Tamandua tetradactyla: one gene and its partners. The protein of the gene in region 1 interacts with the protein of each later gene in a biochemical or structural test. Links are inferred from orthologs where the notes say so. Each region holds a gene or a part of one and is shown on either strand. Other genes may lie near its edges. The genes, in order: BMP7, ACVR1 and BMPR1A.

The links.
Region 2: the proteins of BMP7 (region 1) and ACVR1 form a complex in vitro, tested with the Homo sapiens proteins (2 studies listed by BioGRID). The link is inferred for Tamandua tetradactyla from reciprocal best matches to the Homo sapiens genes BMP7 and ACVR1.
Region 3: the proteins of BMP7 (region 1) and BMPR1A form a complex in vitro, tested with the Homo sapiens proteins (2 studies listed by BioGRID). The link is inferred for Tamandua tetradactyla from reciprocal best matches to the Homo sapiens genes BMP7 and BMPR1A.

Annotation. Positions count from the first base shown.
Region 1 is NC_135327.1:28,167,559-28,174,480, reverse strand, and holds the start of BMP7 (bone morphogenetic protein 7), read right to left. Parts: upstream 3,075-6,922; coding exon 2,657-3,074; intron 1-2,656. UniProt on the Homo sapiens protein: Growth factor of the TGF-beta superfamily that plays important role in various biological processes, including embryogenesis, hematopoiesis, neurogenesis and skeletal morphogenesis.
Region 2 is NC_135329.1:128,173,188-128,181,262, reverse strand, and holds the start of ACVR1 (activin receptor type-1), read left to right. Parts: upstream 1-4,987; 5' UTR 4,988-6,626; coding exon 6,627-6,661; intron 6,662-8,075. UniProt on the Homo sapiens protein: Bone morphogenetic protein (BMP) type I receptor that is involved in a wide variety of biological processes, including bone, heart, cartilage, nervous, and reproductive system development and regulation.
Region 3 is NC_135339.1:9,125,163-9,132,459, forward strand, and holds the start of BMPR1A (bone morphogenetic protein receptor type-1A), read right to left. Parts: upstream 3,054-7,297; 5' UTR 2,861-3,053; intron 1-2,860. UniProt on the Homo sapiens protein: On ligand binding, forms a receptor complex consisting of two type II and two type I transmembrane serine/threonine kinases.

The DNA of each region.
Region 1 (6,922 bases):
CCACCAAGGTCTCCATCAGTTGGGCCCTCAAAGTTTCCTGAATGTAGCGAGCAGTGGTTTGATATGGACAAGTGACATTTTCTCACTCTTAACGGAAAGTGTGACTGAACGTACCTTTTGAAAAGTTTGTATATTACGGATGGATAGGATCTACAGGCCAAGGGGACAGTGTGCTTTCTCAGTAAACTCAGCTGCAGGACAAGTGCCCTACTTGCCCCCTTCCCCTCCAGCCCCATTACCACCACCCCTCCTACGGAGAAATTCCAGAGCCAAGGCAGAATAGAAGGGGCAGACATTTTATGCATGTGTTGTTGCTGAGCAGAAATTAAAGGCCAGCCCTAGAAGGCTCTACAGGAAGAGTTTTGCCAAACTGTACTCCAGGTCTTCATCTAATGAAGTGCCTTTCGTTTTAGGAAAGAGAGAGAGAAAAAACAAGCTCAGCGTGCCCTGTTAATAGCCACTCCACCATCTAATTCGGAGTGATGTTCCACAAAGTTAGACCTGAGAAAGTCAGGACTGTCCCACGGAGCCCAGAGCCAGGCCAGCTGATGAAGAGGCTCAGACAAGCTGGTCTTTGTCCTCGCAAGATGAAAGAAACAGGGCTAACGGCGTTGAAAGGTGTGTGTACACCCACAGGAGGAAAACCACCCAACTGGGGCCTTCCCAAACGAGTCCCAACTCGTTCCCACCGCCCCCACCACCCCCACCTCCACAGCAGGGGGAAGCAAACAGCCCTACCCCAGCTACCCAGAGGCACTCACTCCTCTGGGATGGGGTGTGGGAAGGGGGTGGTAGCCCGGGGTTCAGCCACACTGCCAATCTACAAGCATGGGGCACTTTTTGGACTGAGTCTGCAGAGCCTTCTACAGAAGCCAGGGCTTACAAATGCCTTTTTAACGACCCCAGCCAGGCTCCCAAGGCTGCAGGTGGGACCTGCTTCATTCAGTGCTGGGAACCCATCTGAACCAACAGAAGGGAAGAGGTTTGGATCCTCAGCCAGAGAAAGGGTCCTGGTTTAACCCTGCCCCACCCCCACCCCACCCCCACTTCAGGAAAGAACAGAAGCTCCACGTCTACTTTTCCATTTTTATAATTTTTCTTTAGATTTGCTACAGGTAATAAATACACACTGTAAAAAAAAAAAAAAGGCCACAGATCAAAGTGCAGACAGAGAGTGAAAAATCAGAACCCCCTCTACCACCGGTAAGCCCCAGCCCCACTTCTGCCTCCACCTCACTAAATCTATTTGCAGTTTGTCATGGTGTCTTCCTGCAGAAGGAAGGGCAGGGATGATACCCAAACACACACGCAGACTCACTGATTCCTGCACCTTGCTGTTTTCCACCTCATATACCTTGGTTAGTTTCTAAATCCGGACTGTGCAGCTGCCTCCCTCCTACCAGGCTGCTAATAAAACTCAAAGTTTTCTTGAACTTACCTGGGCATCTAAATCTCCCACCCCTTGCTCGCCAAAGCGCATTTCACTAGTTGATGTTTGGTTATCATTTAAGACAGACAATGGCGTCCAGGGTACCTGGGGCGGGAAGCATTAAACCCGATCCCTGCTTTCCCCCACCCCCATCCACTCCCCAGGTACCCGACGTGGGGATTTAGGGTCATTATTTCGATGTTGACACAGAGCCCGTGGGTGGAAGTTTGCTGTCTTGACTCGGTTCGGATTTTCGCAGCAAGTAGAATAAAAGCGGCTGGGGAAACGGCGCTATCGGGGTGCTTTATCTCTGAGATCAAATATTTGGTCTTCCGCCCCACAGTGCGCTGTCGGGGGTTAGTTTGCGCAAGTCTGGAGAATGTACGCAGCCCCTACCGAGGGGAGCCACGGGGCCCCCGCCGAAGCCCCAGCTTTCCGTCGCCGGTGTCATCGCGGCTACCGTCGGGATCCGGGTCCCCCAGCCGCCCCCGGTGGCGTCTGCTCAGAGATCCCGCGCCACCCAATCGCCCAAACCGGTGGTTGGCGCGCCACACGTGATAAAAGCTGAAAATGGATTCTACCCGCCCGGGACCTATCATTAAATATTTTAAAATAGAAAGCTCGCAACGGCAACGTTTCTTCCCCAGTTCCGGCGGGTAGAGCCGGGAGAGAGGGGGGTGCCCGGGGAGAGGGGCTCCGGGGCGCCCGGGGCGCGCAGCACGCTCCGGCGGGCGGCCCAGCGAGGGGACAGGTGGGGCTCGCCAAGGCGGGAAGGGGCCGCGACGGCCGCGGTGACAGGGCTGGGCAGGGCTGAGCGGCACCGAAGAAGGGCGGGAAGGCGGTTTCACTAGAAAGACTCTTTAAATTCAGGTAGCGCGGGCAGCTCACATGACCGAGCCCCGCGCTTTGAACTGAACCGCGGCCGGGCCCGGCGCCTCCAACACTAGAGGTGCGGCCCGCGTCGTACCCCAAGGGGGCTTCAGGCGGCTCCCTCCCTCCCAATAACAGCAACAGGCCAGCCGAGCCCGGCTCACGCTACCTGGGGCCGCGCTCAGCTTGGGGTCCACTTGGGCTGGGGGTTGGGGGACTCTCGACCAGGCAGGCACCGGCGGCTTGGCAAACCTCCGGGAGTGGAGAGGTGGGCGGACTGAACATAAGGGGCGGCCCCCTCCTTGTCCTGCGGCGCCCGGCCCAAGACGCGCACCCCTCCCGCCCGCCCTCACTCACCGAGGTTGACGAAGCTCATCACCATGTCGGCATCGGTGAGGAAGTGGCTGTCTTGAAGGCTGGCCAGAGGGGGGCCCTGGGTACTGAAGACAGCCTTGTAGGGATAGGAGAAGCCCTGGCCGTCGGGCCCGCCGCCCTCCTCCACCGCCATGGCATTGTACAGGTCCAGCATGAACATGGGCGCCGAGTTGTGCTTGCCCTGGAGGTGCGGGCGCGGGCGGTGGGGTAAGCCCAAGATGGAGAGAATCTCGCGCTGCATCTCCCGCCGCTCCTGGCTGCGGAGGCGCCGGTGGATGAAACTCGAGTGCACCTCGTTGTCCAGGCTGAAGTCGGCCAGGGCGGAGCGCAGTAGAAACAGGGGCGCCCAGAGCGCCACGAAGCTGGGGGGCGCCGCGGCGCGCAGCGAGCGCACGTGCATCGCGCCGGCTCTCCGCGCCGCCCGGGCACCCGGCTCCCGGCACCCGGGCCCGCGCCGCCCCAGGTGGCGGAGAGGGGCAGGCAGCTGTCCACGCCGATCGGTCACTTGCTGCAGACGGGCCCCGCCGCGCCCGCGCCGGACATGGCCCCTCCCCGGCCGGCTGCGCTCTGCCCGGACCCCCGCCCCCGGCTCGGCGCTGGCCCTGGGGCCCCTCGCCCCGCAGTCCCCCGGGCGCACCGCGGGGCTTGGAAACCAGCTCCAACCAGCAAGCTAGCGAAGAGGCTGGCGCGGGTGGGAGGAGCAGCCAGCCAACCTCCCAGCCGGCGAGAGCAGGCGCCGGGGAGGCAGCGAGGCAGCTGGCGAGCGAGCGCTCCTTCCTCCCGCTCCTCCGGCGCTCTCGCCCTCCGGCGGCCGCGACCCACTCTCTTCCGACCTCCGGCGCGGAAAGCAGGGCTCACGGATCGCTTTCCCAGCCCTGTGCGTCCCTGATCGCACGAGAGGCCGCCTCGGGAGCCCCAGAGTGGTACGCGTTGGGGCCTGGGAGGAGGAGGAGGAGGAGGAGGAGGACGGACTTCCAGGGGCCCTCCCGCGCCGGCGGCCTCCCACCTGCCCTCGGCCCCGCCCTCCCCCCAACTGCGCCCAATGGGTTCATTCATCCCTTTTAGCGCGCTCGACAAATATTTACCGAGTGCCCACAGGGTGTCCAGCACCGGGTCGGGCGCCGCGGGGCTTCGAAGGGAGGAATCCGAGACGGCCCTGCCCTCCCGGGACTTACAGTCGGGATGGAAAGGAGGCCCGAGCGGGACCCTGGAATCCGGGATATAATGGATGAAGCTCTGAGCAGGCGCGGGAATCAGAGGAGAAGTCGCAGAGGAGGTGTCACAAGAGCCCATCTTGTCCCTCTGCCCTCCAGCTTTCTGCCCTGCAGCCATGCTCACCCTGCTGCGCCTCCCCCCAACTTTGTCTCCAACTTGTTTCTGCACTTGCAATTCCCTCTGCCTCAAACTCTCCACTACCCCCTCACTTCCCTTTCCATACCCGGTGCTTGGACAGTCTACCTGGCTGTCACCTTCTCCCAGAGCGCTTCCCAGACCAGGGCAGCTAAGGTGGCTTGCCCCCTCACTCTTACACATGATTATTTTATCTTGCGGAGAATTCTTTAGTGTGTCTCCCCATAAGGTTGCTCTCGTCTCCCTAGGCCCTTAAATCCAACACCTGGTAGCCACTGCCCTGCCCAAGCAATACTTGTTGAATGAGTAGATGAAATTGGAGTAACTCCTCCCCTCTCCTCCTCTTTTGGGCTCCATTTATTTCCAACTCCCCAGAACAGCCATCCACTCTCTGACATTCCCCCGCAGTTCTCCACCCTGACCGTGTGTGGGGGCAGGCAGCTTGCCTTGGCACCTAGTTTATCTGAGACCTCACCTGCCAGCTCCTCCTTGCCTCCTTTCTGCCCTCCCCACACCTTCCCTCATTCATTCTCCCCACAAACATAACTGAGCCAGACAGCTCAGAACCTATGGGTCCCCTCTGCCAGCTATTGGACCATATGTGAATTTCTGCTCCCCAGAGCCCCAGTTTCCTCCTCTGTAAAAGTGGGAGCAGAAGAACACCTCACCGTGAGCAGCAGGGAGCACCGTGAGTTGAACTTCAAATCTTGCCTCCTTCCTTTCTGGTTCTACCCCGAGGAGGCAAGCATACAAAGTGGTGACTCCCGTTGGGTGGGCTAGATGGAGAGTCATCCAACGCGGTAAGGTGGAAGGCTAGGTTTGGGGCAGGGGATTTACTTTTGAAGGGTCTGGCTAGGCCCGAAGGGCTGGTCCTCCCTGCAGCAGGAAGGCTGATGAAGGGGAACTTGGCCAAGCTGGTCTTTTCCAGTATTCTCCAGCAGAGACAGTTCTGCTTACAGCCTTCCCGATCTCTCTTTGGGGCTTTCAGACAAGAGGCTGGAGTAAGGGGGTCACATGGGTTGAGAGAAGAGGCCAGAGGCTCAGTGAGGAGGAAGGGTATGTCAAATAGCCCCCAGGCCTGAGCCCCTTACCTAGGATTGGGGCCCCTTGAACTGCCCATCAGCCCTTCACTCCTGAGCACTTCCTGGTCACCGAACAGGGTCAGAGTACAGCCCGTGAGTCTCCCCAGGGCTGGTGCTCAGAAAGGCCCACACTTGTTTAATGCTCCCTTGTCGCCATCTTGAATTTCTTAATATTCCATGAACAAGGGCCCCGCATTTTCATCTTGCACTGGGCCCCCCAACGTGGCAATCCCATGGCCTGACATTGTGCTAACAGGGGGTACAGCAGGAGCCCGTGAGGTGGCCACTGTCAAGGAACTGGCTTTCAGGTCAGGGGCAGCAAACCTGGCACCTTAAATCAGGCTTGGCTGGGGAGGGGAGGGAGAGGAGGCAGCCCATGTCCATCCTTCCTCTCTGGCACCCTGGGCAGCTGGAAGGCAGGCGGAGGAGGGTGAGGAGGGAGGACAGGTGGGCTGAGAGCATTGTGGAGGGGGTGGCTACCACGGGGGTGATGGGAAGTCAGAGAGTGCCGGTGGCCTCGAGGTTCCACCAGAGGCAGAGTGCACAACTCAACAACCTGCTCCTTTCAGCTCAGGATAAGCGACAGAGGAAATAAACAAGGTAAGGTGGTGAGGGAGGAGTTGTCGTTGACCTGAGCCAGGCAGAGGGACAGCGAATGCCCAAGCCCTGGGGACCGGGAAAGGGTTCCACCACCACCACCACCCATGCACCCCCATGCTGGCTCGCCAGGGGCGAAGCGGCTATACCTGCTACCTCAGAGGCCAGTGAAGATGAAGGCAGCCCTTTCTTCCAGGAGGTAAAATGCAAATGAGAATCACAGTGGCTCCCCACACTGTCTCTGCTTTTTTAAGCATTTCGCAAAGCTTTTTGTTTTGGCGGGGTGAGGGGTGGGGAGGGGTGTTGTTTTACAAGCAAATGAGCCTGGAGAGGAGGGCAGGTATGGGTGCTGCGGATTTACACAGGAGCACAAATAAGGACTGGTACAGGATTGTCAGCATCTCCTCCAGGCTCCTCTCTGCCGCTGGAAATCCTTGAAGCAAGGACTTGCCCCTCTCTTTGCATCTCCTCTGAGCTCATCCTGAGCCTGACACCCAGCATTTGCTCAGTAAATAGCTGTCCAGTGACAGCTGTCCAGTGACAATCAATGCAGAATGAGCCCCTTCATGAGGCACTTCCAATAGGAAAAGATAAGGTCCCCTCTGAACTCCCAAGATCCCCCTATTTAACCTTATCTTTCCCTGCTGGGGGAGGGGGCGGCTCTTTATTTTCCCTGCTTTCTCCCCTAAAGGAGTCCCAGGGTTGAGCCAGGCCCTCAATTAATGCTTGCCAAACAAATGAAGGAAGGAGTAAATGAATGAATGAATGAATGCAAACATGCAGGCAATGTCTGGGCTGGAACTGCCTCCGATGCTGGCTTGGGAGCTAAAAGCTGTGAGACCATTTAGAGGGTCTCAGGTGGTGGCAGGAGTTGTGGACACCCTGGGCTGCCGCTTCCCATCTGCATGACAAGGGCAAGGGTCTCCACTCCTCTGGACCTCAGTTCCCCCACCTGGAAAATGGGCTACTGAGAGTGCCTGCCTCCTGGGGCTGCTGCAAGGATTCAGAATTTAATTCCCGTAAAGGGCTTTGAATGGCGCCTGGGGACACAGAGAAAACGCCTGATAAATGTCAGTTGCCATCTGGATGAAAAGGAAAATATGTTAGCATGAGAGCCTCCAAAAGTTTTAAAAACAACAACAAGGAAACTTTTCATGAACATCTACTTCCTGGCCAAGCAAAGAAAAGCGAATTTATCCTGACTTGGAGAGATCAAGAA
Region 2 (8,075 bases), on another chromosome or scaffold:
CATATTTCTTTCTTCTTGTTACACTGATAACTGTTGTCACTCTTGGTCATAGTGGGTTGTTCCTCTTTGGGCTCCTTCAGTGCAAAGAGCAGAGGAGAAAGTCCAAAGCGTGAGATCAGAAGTTGCACATATCACTTCTAATGTATGTTCCATTCGTGAGGAGTTAGTTTTATGGGCATACCTAGCCATGAGGGAGGTTGGGAAATGAAGTCTCTGTTGGTCAGCATTGACCCAGGAAGAGAGGGAAAGACAGAAAATTAGCAGACTCTGTTCCACTGACTATACATTCCAGTTTTATTGACTATTACAACGTGTCTCCTTTGATAGATATAAATTGTCGTATATATTTTGGTCTTTTTTTTGTGGATATTCATGTAGGTTTATTGCTCTGTTTGCCTATGTATATACCATAGTCATATTGTTTCAACTCTTGGAGCTTAAAATGTTTTTTTTTTTCTTTTTGGTAGAGTAGTCTCCCCTTTTTTACTCTCTTTTACAGAATTTTCATGTGTGTGTGTTTATATGAGCTTTAAAATAATCATGTGCAGTCATCCTGGGCCCCTTACTCTTCCCTAGAGAAGAAAACCTGCAAATTTTGGGGATTGTGTTAAATATATAGATAAACCCCTTATGGACAGTTCATATCTTTATGATAATTTTTCTTATTAGGTCGTAGGTTGCATAGTCCAATTTGGGGAATCTCTGATCTGGAAGCTAGCCTTCGCATTTCCATTGACACATAAAACATAATTGAAAGAGGAAGCACCAACTTCTTACAAGATATATTAGTTTTTTTTTAACAGTTGATTTCTTTTTATCACTAGGAAACCTACATCTGTTCTTTGTGCTACTAAAAATTAATAAAATTGGAATTTGGGGAAAACCCCCAAATTTTCCTCAGTTTGAAGGTGAGGAATAATAGATATTTCAGAAATTGATTAATAAATGTATTTGTAACACACAAACCTGGGCACATTTTTGCATGTCTGATGCATAATGCTTATATGTCTTCTGTGTGTTTCTGTGTGCATGCGTGTTTGTTGTACTTTCTTTTAACAATATACATTCAGCTTTTGTGCATTCCTTTTTAACCTTTTTATCGTAAAATAAACACAGATACAGAAATCCTCACAAAATAAACCTAGTTTAGTTAATACAAGGGAGGTATCTCTGACCTCCTCTCATGTTGACAAGAGAGTGTTAGCAGCCGCTCTAGAGCTCATTCTCATGCCCTGGCCCAGTCACAGCTGCCCCCTCTCTCCCTCCAGCAGTAACCACTTCCTGACTTTTATAGTAATTGCTTCCTTCATTTCTTTATGGTTTCCTCACCCAAGTATGCATACTCAGCCAGTGCAGTTCAATCTTGTCTCTCTGTCTCTCTCTCAGCCTTTTCTTTTTTTAATTATATCTGTTACAAACCTGACCATCTGAGTGATAGTTTCCCACTGCCTGGATTTTGCTGATTGCACCTTCATGGTTCAATTCATCCTGTTTGCCTTTTCATTTCGTAGAAAGTAGTAGTTTAAGACAACAGTCTGGGAGCCTGGGACACTCATTTTTACTGGGTTAGCCATTGTTTCTGTGCCTTTTTACCAGGCAGAGCAGGAAGTAAATATATATAAAATATTTCATGAGTTCATACTGGTACCCCAATTAAATTCTAGGGTTTTTACTTAACATATTCTGTGTGTCCTCAATATCTCATTTATTGCACAGAAATCCAGTTCTCAAGAACAGCAGAAGTGATTGAATTAGACTAGGTCATTTACTTAATCCCCATATATATATACACACACACACCATAACTGTCTCGATATTACCATTGTATCACTGGTTATGAAAACTGGAGGCTGATTTAAATTTTTTTAAAATTTCCTTTTTGTATTCTATTTCCATTCTCCCCTTGATTTATGTGTGTATGTATGTGTGCTTATAGTTGAAAATTGGGGGAAATTAAACGCTGATTATGTTTAAGATGATATTTGGGGGAGGGATAATTTTAATTTTGCTAGGTGAGATGAGGTTTTATAGTTGTGTTTAGAAAAAGTCTTTATCTGCTAGAGAATTTGTGGGTAAAATGATAAGACACCTGGATTCTCCTTAAACTATTTCAGGAAAAAAGTGGGCAGAAGAGGAAATAAGGTTGCTTATTTTTGAAATTGGGTGGTAGAAAGTGGGGATTATTATACTTCCTCTGTTTCTATGTATGCATGAAATATCTATAATACATAAGTTATAAAAAATTAACTTACAGGGAAGTGCAATGGTGGCTCAGTGGCAGAATTCTCGCCTACCATACCGGAGACCTGGGTTTGTTTCCCAGTGCCTGCCCATGCAACAAACAAACAAACAAAAATTAATTGACAGTGGACATCATGGTAGGGGAAGATGTTAATTAGGAAGGAGTAGTCCCATGGGAGGGAAAATGCAGTCTTACCCTGGTGTCACAGTGTTAGCTCCATGGCCTACAGTGGTCCTTGAAGTTAAAAAAAAAAAAATGAATGAGATCTTGAGTGAGAAGGAGAGAAGGCTGAGGTGTGTGGTCCTTGAGGAAATCATGATTTAAGAGATGCATAGCAGAAGAGGAAATCCCCATGAAAGAAAACTGAACAAACCCATATAACCAGCCCATGTAACTAAGTGTCCTGGAGGAAGAAAAGTCCCTGGACCCCAGCTAGGGAAGAGTTTCTGGAAGAAGGAGGCTGTCGACACCAGCCCATCACAGAGTAGATGAATGAGATCACCCGTGGCAACCTCAGCTTCCTCTGAGTTGCTGTTGGGACTGAGATTCTTGTGCCTCTTTTCAGGATTGATGGAATAAAAATCTCTCTGGGTGAGCCTGGGAATCCATGTTTTGAAGAAGCGCCCTTATCCTGCTAAAGGATAAGGTACAGACTAAACAAAACCTTAGCGAGAGGCATTACAGTGAGTTGTCTTGGACAGGACACAGTGGATTGAAGACCAGAGGAGAGGAAGTGGAAAAAGATTGTCCTTCCCGTGCGAAAGCAGAAAGAGTAGGTATGGGGCCAAAGGGGAGGCTCCCTTTGGATTGAGGGATTTGTTGGTGTTTGTAGAAATAATTTGAGAGGTTTTCCTGAATGGTTCCCAGCACAGGATGTTCAGGTAGTCAAATGAAGCGTGCGGTTAGGCCCCCATCACCAGAGAGATTATTTTGGGGAGAACTTAATTTTCTGACCGTTCAGAGCAAGCTTGGAAAGAGGCAAGATGGATTAGATGTTCCTTTCATTTGATATTATTTTTAAATCACATATTAGAAGAGAAGGGGCTCTAGTGTCTTTTCACTGCCTCAGCTTCTCAAGTTCTTACTGGGCTTTTTGGCCCCTTGAGGTGGCAGCACTGACTCATCCAGCCCTGAGGGGAAGGAAGGAATGGGGTCAGGTGGGCTGTTCATAGCACTTTTCTCTTGTTCACTTGCCCACCCCCCTTCACCTTCTGGTAGTTTCTTTTTCTCTCACTTAAGAATGGCCCACTAGAGTCCACAGAACCCAGCAGAAGGGGTCACTTCGTGTGAAGTTATTTACTTTGGGACGTGGGGGGATTCCCATATTTTCCTGACTTTCATAATCATGTTGCCAAGGGCAGTGGGTGTTTGGTGCTTGCCTTTTCCTTCTCCTCTTTTCTTCTGTTTAATACCGGATCAGGCTCATAATTTTCTCCCATGTGAGCTTTCTAGCTCTGCGTACTTGGGGATGTCATCTACCTTTAAAATTTTATTCTATTCTCCCCATTTAGTATGGTGTGTTTCGCTGTATTTTTAACTTATCAGTTTTCCTAGTCAGGTCAGTGAGTGTTTTTTGGTTGGTGGGTGGGTGATTTTTTTGGGTTACATCAGTAATTGGATCTGTTTCTACACAGTATCCTGAATCCCTCCCTAGCTGGTTTCTTTTCTCATGTTCTGTTGTGGTAACGTCAATACTAACCCGTTCAACTTGTACACTGACCCTGTGTCCATGGCTCATTTTCTTTCTCATGATCGTATTTATATTTTTGGTGGATATATTTAAATGAACAGCTGTGCATTTGTTGAGTCATACCACAATTATCTGATTCTGCTTTAGCTGTTCCACTGGCAAAAGCGTATTTCTAGCTAAGTTGTGAGAGATTCCATTAATCACATTCCAGTTGGGGGAAGGGAGAGGAGAAAAACCACTAAAAGAGTGTTTTGAAAGACTAATGTTAGCAACTTATTACATTATTTAGAGTAAGTTGATTTGGTTGCTATAGCTTCATAGGCAAAATTCCCTGTCATCATTGGCTTGGAGATAAAAGTTAAGTTGCTGGTGCTGGTCTATTTAAATAGATAAGAGGTCTTTGAGAGAGTTCCTTTCTGTTAAGACTGGGCTTTTGATTCAAAATTCCTTGAATTTATTGGCTAAGTATTTTTTGTTTTGTCTTCTCAGCAGATAACATCTGATGCAGAAGATGTTACAAGTTCCCTTTTCTTCAAATGTACTAATTGCTAATTGTAACCTCTGGTTGAATCTGTGGCTTCCATCAGCCAGATCTATTTTTCTCTTGACACTTCCTCTGGGTTCTTTCTGGAGGTTATTAATAGACATGGAAGCATGACTTTCCAAATAGCATCAATAACCGTTAGAAGACTTGGGGGGAGGGGATAATATGTCAATTTTTGACTTATAGGAGATGCATTTTCAAGCTACAGAAGCCATTTCCGAGGTCACTCAGGATGGCTCAGCTGGTGTCTGCAAGTAGAGAGCCAAGCAGTCCTTTCCAAATGGGAAATTGTCCGCCAGGGAGTTATCTGGTACACTTGGAGTCTGCCAGCCGACTTTTTATTTTGGCTGCTTCTCTTGGATGACACCCATGAAAGTGGAGTTCAAGTTTCAAATGATATCTTTTAATTTACCTCAAACACCTGGTTGCTACTATATTAAATTGAGGACATGAGGCACCCCATCTCCCTTGGTCATTTTCTTGCCAACCTACATAAAATTCCTAAAACTTCACTTTCCTCTCCTCATCCAGACCAAAATGCAACATAGACTTAGAATTTAAGATTACTGTGTTTTCACATGAATCTGACCGTGCCAGGTGCAGGGATGTCTGACCATGAGCCAGACAGAGTTTTTACTCTCATGTTGGTTACTTACATTTTGGTGGGGAGACCAAGGGGAAAAAGATAATAAATGAATAAATAACAGATTTCACAGATTTAAAAGCTATGAAGAAGATATAGCAAGGTAACAAACGCAGTGCAATCGGAGGTGAACGTGAGAAAGTCTGAGACAGGAAGAAATGAATTTGGAAGTGGGTAGGTGGGGTGTGGACGAGGAGAAAGGTTCTGGCAAGGTACATTGTGTAAAGGGTACTTTTTTCTCACATCTGTAAATATGTACTGACAGTTTCCTGTTTTAAAACTTAAAAACAAACAAACAAAAAACAACAGACCTCCCTGAGGGTTCCATCCTTTTCATTCATCTCCATCCCCATCCCCATCCCCACCCCCTTCAGATCATTAGAGGTTAATCATTTTAACCTTAGAATTGGGATAAATCACCAAATGAACCATCACTTGGCTGTAATGAGAGGGAAACTTCAGGTCAGGCATAGTTAGGAAGGGTAGACACAATCTAACTTAAGACTTCTGGAGAATGTGGGATTTTTACCAGTAGGTAAGAAAATTGTTCTGGTCACATTTTGCAAAGTGGAGTAAGAGGAACACACCTCTGAGCTATTGAGGAGAAAAAAGATTACAGAACAGCTGGGAGATGGAATCCTGTTAGTTGGAGCAAAGCAGGAGTATGAGGGCTATTTGATACAAAGGAATTGAAGTGGAAAATGAGGGACAGTTTCTCTTCTGGTCAAGCATGATAAAATAAAAACTAGTTTGAAAGTTCCGGTAAGGTATGCAAGTGGGCAGTCAAGACATTGGAAGTTTCAGAGGCTTAGTTTAGTTACACACCTTGTAGGTGTGTGGCAGTGCTGGGTAAATTCAAAGTAGATTGAGAGGGGATTCTTTGGTTCTTACTTCGTAGCCCAAGCTAAACCATTCACTTAGTTTTACTCAATGAATCCTTACCTTTTCTCCCTCTTTTCACAGATTATCATATTGCTTTTTCCCCAAAATTTTAGGGCGATTTTCCAGGCTAGAATGGTCAGAGTGTAAATCTTTCACTCAAAACCCTTGCTTTGCTGAAAAAATCTGTAATTATTTCCTCTCACTATGGATGTACTAATTCCAGAGCTGGATGTCAGGTGTTTAAGATTTGTTCAAGAAGCTCTTTGAATTCATGTATCAGGAAAGATCAGATTACATGCTAATATTTTTAAAGTGACGCCCTGCCAGAAACCTCCAGCAGCACTGGTGTCTATATAAAACCAAGTTCTGGCAACATGTGCTTGGCTAGTTCAGACACAGAGTGTGGTGGTAAAAACATTGAACAGGCCATTTTGTGAGCTGGAGAAGGGAGCTGACAACTCCTATGGTCTGATGGCTTGGTTAGACTTTTCTTTATAGCTGTCCCTGACAGCCCACATCTCTCTTCACCCCCACTAAGGAAGGGCCTAAGTAGTTTGGGTCAAGATGCTGCTTGGGTTATCTCTTTGCCTGTTGACAATGGAAGAGAAATAAATGTTCTCACAGAATGGCTAATTGTTGTCACACTTGCAGTTGGTTATTGTAAGTATATTTTCCCCTAATGTTTTATGTCTATAATTTCCCCTACTGGGCCTGTCTTTTCAAAAAAATGTTCCTGACTTATACTGTTTTATTTTGAAGGGTGAATTTTAAGACTACTGAAGAGTGGGATGGGGAAATGGTAGATAGAAACCTCTCTGTGTCATCAAGGCAGCTGGTTTTTCTTTTGCATCAAGATTTTTTGGGGAGTGTGGGAGGGAGAAGATAATCCAGGGTTATAAAGTAGATGGAATTAATTTTGAGGTGAGAGAAATGGAAAGAGGGCCTGATTGAGAAGGGCTCAAATAACCATAGGTGTAGGTTTTTCACTAACAAGAAGATTTTTGAAGCTCAGAATGAGTTCAGGCTTGGATAAAATGTTGAGGATGATAAAACCGGATTGTGAATCTATGGCTGGTTAAGGGGTGGTTGTGAAGAGCGGTGGTTAATTAGGATCCAAACTCTGGTCAGATGGCCTTGGGTTTGGATTTGTGACCTTGGGCAAATTACTTAAAAGTCTATCTATCCGTTTTCTTATCTGTAAAATGGATTAATGGGTATTTATCTTAAAGTGTTTTGGGCAGAGATTGAATGAAATGTAATACATTTTGATTCCTTGGCACTGTGCCTGGCTCATTAAGTGCCATTGCTATTAAGGTGATAATGATATAATGCTGACAGATGACTGGGAGAAGGCAGAAGTACCCTTATTTCTTATAACTTTCCACTCATCTTCAGTGTTATGAATGACAAATTATGTGGTGTTTGTAAGTCTAAGTTTTAGCGCTATAGATTATCAACTAAGATCACTTACTGTGGATTCCAAAAGTTAACATGGAAATGTATTATACTCTTATTTATTCAGTGACCAATATAAAAATGCTTTTGTAACTTTTGCCCCCTGTATTGTATTGCAGAGTATCTGTGACTTTATCCAGCTGTAAAATTGTGACAGGCAAAAGAAGTACCAGACTTGGTCTACAGCCTACACATGTTAGAAATTGAGCTAAGCTCCTTAACTAGATATCAGTCTGATCTATAAATGGAGTTTGAAAAGTACCATGGGATTTGGAAAGTGGTTCTCTTCTGCTCTGGTGATGTGTCTGTTTTTAGTAGAGCGTCATGGGAATGTTCTGTCTCCCAGGAGAGCAGGCCTAAGATATTACAAGAGATGGTGCTGATTTAACGGGGGTACTCGGGTTAAGTTGGGGTGGGGCTCCCTATCTGAGCAGCAATTTTCTTTGTCTTTGATATTAAGAGCATTTACCAGGGCTGGAGGGACTAACCTAAGAGCAAAAGGAGGATGCTTATATATGTATACCGGAGACAAACTCGCATATTCTGCACGCCTCTGTGATCCCTGGTAGCCTGTGATTTCTCAGTGAGGGACTTTGGCTTTAAGACATTGTAAGGATTT
Region 3 (7,297 bases), on another chromosome or scaffold:
AGCCAGGCAGAGATAGTAGTACATAAAGCAGATGGAAAAGAGAATTCAAGCGCAGAAGAGAAATCAAGATAGAGATTTGAGAATTACACATAAAGAAGAGTCTGAACAATAATGTCAAAGGACCAGAGGTACATAGAAAGCGGACTGAAAACTGAAACTTAAAGGGCACTTAAATTAAGCAGGAAGAAGAACAGAATGTAGAAAAGGAGCAGTGAATGACAAAGTCAGAAGCCCCCTTTTCATCTAGTTGTCACCTGTCTTTCAAAATTGTCCTGTGTTCCAAGGCAACATTTTTAGAGAGGCCTCCCCAGATTCTCCCAACAATACCAGTACCAGAACAGGTCCCCATTTTAGGCTCTTATATAACACTTGGCACTTTAATTATAATCGCAATTACAGTTAATTACATAATCCATTCTTCAATATCCTTCTCCTCCTCTAGACTATAAACTCTATAAGGGCAAAGAGCATACCTGCTGATGCTGATGCATCCTATTGCCTTGCACTGTGTGTTGGAATACAGCAACTATTCGTTGAATGAAATGTATACAAAAGCATTTCGAGAATGTAATGCTAAACGCTACAAAAATCTCAAGGAGACTATTTAGAAAAGGTGCTTGAATGTGTTGATTAGGTTATAGATGATCTTCAAAATAACAGTTTCAATTGATTTGTGAAGGTGAAATCCAGGTAGCAAGAGATTAAGAAGTGAATGAGAGGCCAGGAAGGCAGGAAAAGCAGACTACTCCTTCAAGAAGTGTAGTTAACCATGGCAATTGTTACAGAAACGGGACTATGAATGACTGAATTTTAATTTTACCTCAGTTTTACTCCATTTTGCAATTCTGCTTTAATAAACATGTATTACTTTTACAGGGAAAAACTTTTTTTTATTAACTTTTTAATTCATTTGAAAAGGAAAAGCAGTCAACAAGACAGCTTGAGGGAGTAGGGGCTCAAGGAAAGTTCTCAAAAAATTGAGGGAATCTTAAGCACATTTATACTTTTAAGAACCCAAAGACTTTTGAGGGATAATTTCTGCTCCATTAAGTAGAAAAGAAGAGAATAAAGAACAAGTAAGGTGTTAATTTAGCAAAAAGGACAAAAAATATTCTTCCTCTGAGAAGAGAAGCAGCAGATGATAGAAGGAACTCAGTAAATTCTGGAAGGTGTTCCCACAGGGATGCCTCAATCTTTTTAGTACGGGCAGAGAGATGTGAAGAAAATAAAAGAGATCTGAAATAGACGCTAAGGAGAACGTGGGGGGGGGGGGGCCAGGAATAGAACATTGTTTCTATTAAGAAATGCTTTCTAAATCTCAATCAAGCCTTTCATAAACTCAACCCAACTCTAGATCAGAGAACAACCTGTATTTTGGCTGTAAATTTAAATATTTAAATTATTCTGGTTCAAAAACTTTTAATTTCAACAACTGAAAACAATGATAAACAGTATTAACATTTCATTTCAATTCAAAGTTTAACTCTTCCTACAAGTCAATATAGTAAAGGAGTTATTTTCAACTCAAGCAAAAATAGTCATCATTTTAAATGTAAATAAAAACTGCTCAACATGCAAGTGCAGAAGAGTTGTGGTTGTGGGTGTTTTTGAACTCATAGTATACTTCATCTTAACAGTTCCTGAATATGAAGGAAAATTCCGGGTTCAAAATCCCAGCTCCCTTAAACAAGTTATTTAACCACTCTGAGTCTTGGTTTCCTCCTCCGAAAAGTGTGGAATACAATAACCAGGCTTTAGCATACGGATTAAATGACGTAACACAGGTGACTGTGCCAAGTCCATACAATATACTCGGGAACAGTTTGTTAACCGTTTAGAAGAGGAAAAAACTGCAACACTTAAACCAAATTAAAATATCTGAGAGCATGAAAGAGTACAAGTCACAAAAAGCCAGACCCTAACACAGAGCACATTATTTTTCTTCCCTGACGCAAGTATTTTTTGTTGTGTTTTTTTTTCCCCTTGCTAAACCTTTCCACTAGGAGTCTGGAAAAGAAAAAGGTTGCATTCAATTCAGCAAAAAAGTTTTCGGAAACTGAAGCGCAGCATCACAACAGACACGGCAGCGAAGGGCAGGTGAACCGACACAGGGACCTGCGAGAAACCCGGCACCTTCCCGTGGGCAAGCTTTCGGGGAAGCAAGAAATCCCCCTAGTTCTACGTCCACATGAAACACTTTTCACCCCCTTTTGCAGAAGCGTCCAGAGACTAATCACGCGTATCAACCTCGCAGCTACTGGGCGCGGGGTGAGCGCCTTTTCCATTTAAGGACCCCCTTTCCCATTTAAGGATTCAAGTCGCGTACTGCAGGCGCCTTTTGCCAACACCGCCTTCCCAAAGTCGGCCTGAAACCCGGGGGTGGGAAACAAAGGAGGGGCCGGGCGGCGGGGGCGCCGCGGGCGGCAGGCAGGGCCCGAAGGGTCTCTAGGGGTGGAAGTGGGGGAGCCCGGGCGAGAGCTGGAGGCGACAGTCCCGGGTGGGGACTCGGGGTCGGCGGGGCCCGACCCGCGCCGCGGCCTGAGGGACAGCGCGAGGCGCAGGCTGACAACGCTCGAGGCCGCGGGGGCCCTACGGGCCCACCGGGCCAAGCTGCAGCGTCCCTCCGAGCGCCGCCCCCTCCCTCGGTCAGCCGCCCCCTCCCTCGGGCCACCGCCCCCTCCCTCGGGCCACCGCCCCCTCCCTCCGGCCGCCGCCCCCGCTTCGGACAGCCATCGTCCACCGGGCCTCCCAGCTCGCGGTCCGGTTCCCTCAGAAACTTCGCTCCGAGCGCCGCGCCGGCCTCCCCGCTGCGGCCCGGCCCTCCCGGCGCGCACACGCACTTTCGGACAAGTCAACTCACCCGGATCCCGGGGCACTCATCCTCCAGCCCCTCTGCGCGGAACGGGGTGCGCGCTGTGAGCCGGGGGGGAGCGCCTGGGGCCCGGCTCGGCCTCCACCCTCGGTGTGCAGCGACCCGGGCCCTGTAGCCCCTCGCGCGGCCGTGCGATCCTCGTCTCGCGCAGACGGACCCGCCGGAGCCCGAGCCTTCCTGCCCGCCCTCCCAGCCCTCCGCCCTCCTCCTTCGGCGCAGGCCAGCAGGCGGATTCCAATCTCGGCAGCCGCCGCCGCCGGGGCCGACACTCGCGCGGGGGGGGGGTGCGGGGGAAGGAGGACCGGGGCAGCGGGGGCCGCTGGGGGAGGGGCGGGCCTGTGCGAGCCCCGGGCGCCGCGCGCACGCACTGAGAGGGCGCCCGCCAGCGCCGCGCGCACCCAAGCCTGGGCGCCGGCCCCGCCCTGGACTCGAAGGGAGCCGAGCGTGCGGCGGAAGCACCCGAAGGGCCCGCGAAGGCCGGCGCCCCGCTGCCGGGGGGGACGCCGGGCCGCCGGCAAGGGGGCGCCTGGTTGCTGGGAGCGGAGAGGAGGGGGGCTTCTCCTCGGCGTGCCGCCGCCCCGTCGCTCGGCGCGAGACCAGCCGGCCCCAGGTCTCCGGAAGCCGCCAGCCTGGGCGCCGCGGCGTGGGGGACCTCGGGGCCGACGCGGTGGAGAAGGCGCCGCGGAGGGCGGGCGACAGGGCTCGCTGGGCTCTCTCGGCGCTTCGCACACCCCGGCAGCGCGCGCGGGCACCGGCCTGGTTGCGTCCGGACGAACGTAGTCGGCCAGAATTCACGCACCGAGCTGTGCGGTCGCCAGGCCACTGAACTAGTAGGGTTGCGACAGAGAAACGAAAGATGCAGTCACACTTGGCTTATTACTGCCCGGGTCGCTTCCCTTTTGGGGCTCTTTGCCGACGTGCCGGGGACCCGTGAGGGAGGTGGAGGTGAGCGGTCTCGGGGTGAGCCGAGGAAAAAGGCATTTCTTCGTCGATCCGCGGTCTCGGAGACCCAGCTCGCGCTGGGATCTGCGAGCCCGTGGGTTCCAAAGGCGCTCACCCGACGCTGAAGTCAGCGGACTATAAATATTCCTCCCATCTTTACCTTTGGCTCGCTTTTGTGACCTTGTGTACCCTCCGGAGTCTCCGTTTACAAAGTTGTAAATGATCGTCACTACCTCTTCCCTTTGAATTTTCCCTCGTCTTTTGTGGCAAAGGCAGTTGAAGATATACAGTGTCCTGTATGGGAAGAAAGGGGACAAGGCCTCCCTTAACAACCAAACTGACCCTATTCGTATTTCATCTCAATGAGTAGATCATGTTAATTTTAGTCTCCTTACAAAAGATGGTGTTTTCCAAAAGTCTCTTTATGAAATCACTTTTAAAATTGTGGATGAAGAGAAGGGGGAGGGAGGAAAAAATGTGCCAGACCTTGTTTTGTTTTTTTTAATACACGTTCTCCTCCAGAGTTATTTAGATCTCAGGGCATTTCTTGATATCCTTATTTATCCTTATGTTCTTGTTTGGATGTTTTTTTACTCTCCGTCTTTCAGCCCGTCCCCCTTAGCTTTTCTTTTTCCTACCTTTACCCTTAATGACTCAGAATACCTTGATAAATCCGAATTATTTTTCGGTGCTGTTTTCTTCTCTGACTTTTGTTCTGGGCTCTAATTTAGCTGTCTCAGGTTTGAGAGTCAGTGGGTTATAGTATCTTGCTATGCAGAAAGAATCTAAGATATGTGAGTTTCCTTAACATCAATTACAATTTGTCACTTCTTTTTCAAGTTTCCTGTATACTGCCCTGCTATAATTATAGGGGAAAGGGTGGGCCTTTTGCTCAAGCAGATTCAGATTGATGGGCGGAAGAATTCACTGCTGTACTCTGAGCAGTGTGTCATGACAGAGAAAAGCATGGTGTGTGTGTTACGTACTCTATATCCTAGATCGATTTTTAGACACTGTATTAGTCTGTCAATAGCCAAGAGTCTCAAGTTGGAACTTTAGTCCATCAGATGTCTGAAATACCCACCTCAGTGTTGCTGACTTGTGGTTATATGCCAACATGAAAATGAGAGCAAAATTGAGACATCAAATTTTAAGTCATGACATCTCTGACTGCTTCTCTACAAAACGATCTACTTTTCAAAGTCTTTCGGAATTTCACTTGACCTCATTTTGCTCTCCTTACCTCATCTAGTGCCCATATTAAAATCCCAAGCATATATCACGGCAGGCAACCTTCCGACAGCCGAACACAGCATTGTGTTGTCTTTGGTTCCTGGCATGTGTATGCGTGCCAGCCTGTTTCTCCGGTTTGCCTGCCCACTAAACGAACAGTGCAGCCAGGAAGCCCAAGGCGACATCTGGGCACGTGTGGTCTGGCCACCAAACTCAAAGGCAGTGTCCCAAGATTCAAATTTAACATTTTTAAATGTGATGGTATTCCTGTAAGTAAATTAATAGAAGGGGCTAGAAATGGGCCTTTTCCTCTGTACAGCCTGTTTGAGGTTTTGGTCCCCTGCTGTTGCATGGCCAAATCACATAGCATTAGTTTGGAACAGAAATGTATTAGATCTTCCCCTTACTGGCACTTTGGAACAGAAATGTATTAGATCTTCCCCTTACTGGCACCTTCTCATACAGGTCTTAGGTTCCCCAGGGAGGCCTTCCCTGGTCACCTATCGTAAATTAATAACCCCTTAAATTTCATTTTCATTATACCGCTTTTTACTCTTGCAGTTACCTTGTTCAGATATGTGGGTGTGTCCTCCCTCCCTTCTGAAATGTAAACCCCATGAGAGCAAAGACCTTGTCAGTTTTGTTCTCAACTGTGCCTGGCACATTCTAAGTGCTCCATATTTGTTGCTGAATGAGATAGATAAGGATAGAATATTCCTCTGAGCATTTCTGAACTTTTGTCACCAAGACCCTTCCAGTTTTAGGGGATGTTGTGGACTCTGTTGGAAGGGTTGAAGATTGGCCGGGGAAGCTGTGGATTTCACCATCTTCAGGAAAATGGGCTTCTACCTTCAGGGATCCAAGTTCATTGGCAGTGAATCCATCCAAAATCATTTTCCCGTTGTAATGACTTTGTGAGTCATTACAGAACCAAGTCTTTGTAGGTAGCACCAAGTCTTTGTAGGTTTGGTGATAAGTTAGAGCGTAGTAAGGAGGGATTATTGATAGGAGGCCTTTGGTAGGATGATACTTTAGGTTGGTTTCAGATTGGTTATTAAATGGATGAAAAGGTTGAGGAGAGTAGAGGAAACATTTGCATTTCTCAGCAAGAACACTACTTCATCATTATATTGATTCAAAATACCCCAACCTGGTTCAGAAATACCAAGCCACAACATCTTGTGTTTAAGAAAAAGAAGCCTACATACAAGTAATAATTACGGGCATAAATTAGAGAAAAAATTAAAAACATGAATTTATTCCTTTTCTTTATAATGGTACAGTGCTTTACTTTCCCTTCTATTTTACTTCTAAAAAACTTCTTCCTTCTTCCCTACTCCATTTCAAATTCTCTTTGCTTCAAAGTATTTGTTTACTATGAAGATGGTTTATGCCTCCAGATTATTCATATACCAGATAAGCCATGAAACCCAGAGGCACCAGTCTCTCCAAAAACATTGACTAGTTGCATTCCCCATCCCCATAATGTCGACACCCCTTTCTAACATGAAGAAGTTAGAATGGTCATTGCCCAAATAGCCCTGAAGATTGGGAGAAGGAACAAATGAGAGCGAGGAGTTGTAACAGAGGAGATAGGATTATAAATGATTGTGACTACCGAATAATATTGATATTTCTTGTAAATCTCTAATGTATTAGAATAGCTAGAAGGAAATACCTGAAATTCTGGAACTGTAACCCATACCATACTTTGACATTTGCTCTTTAACTACTTGTTACACTGTACTTCGAAATTTATCACTTTTCTGCATGTATATTTCACAATAAAAATTTTTTTCAAAAAAGACAGTATATGGTTTACTGAGGTTATCGTTTAGCCTTTACTTCGTCCTTCCTAGTTCCTGGCCTCTGTAGTTGGTTGTCCTCTCCCCACTATCAATGCTTCCTTTACCATAGACCCCAGTCCTTTCCAGGATGTAGGCCCTGAGATGGGAAATTCTCAGGGCTCCAGTCCCAAGCCAGCAACTCAGACTCCTGCGGCCTTTGATACTTACTTGAGGAACCCTAACCTTAGCCCCTTTCTGTGAACTGACTCACAGCCCTTTTCTTGTGCCTTGAACACCTGGCCTGTTAACCTTCCTGGAACTCCATTTCCTCTGTCACCTAGACTCAGCCCGAGCCCTACAACACAGTCTCTACTGTGCACCAGTAAATACTTGCAGCCACACTTACCTGCTTCCAGCATTTGGTTCCTACATTCTTTCCTTCTACATTCCACCTATCTCTGAG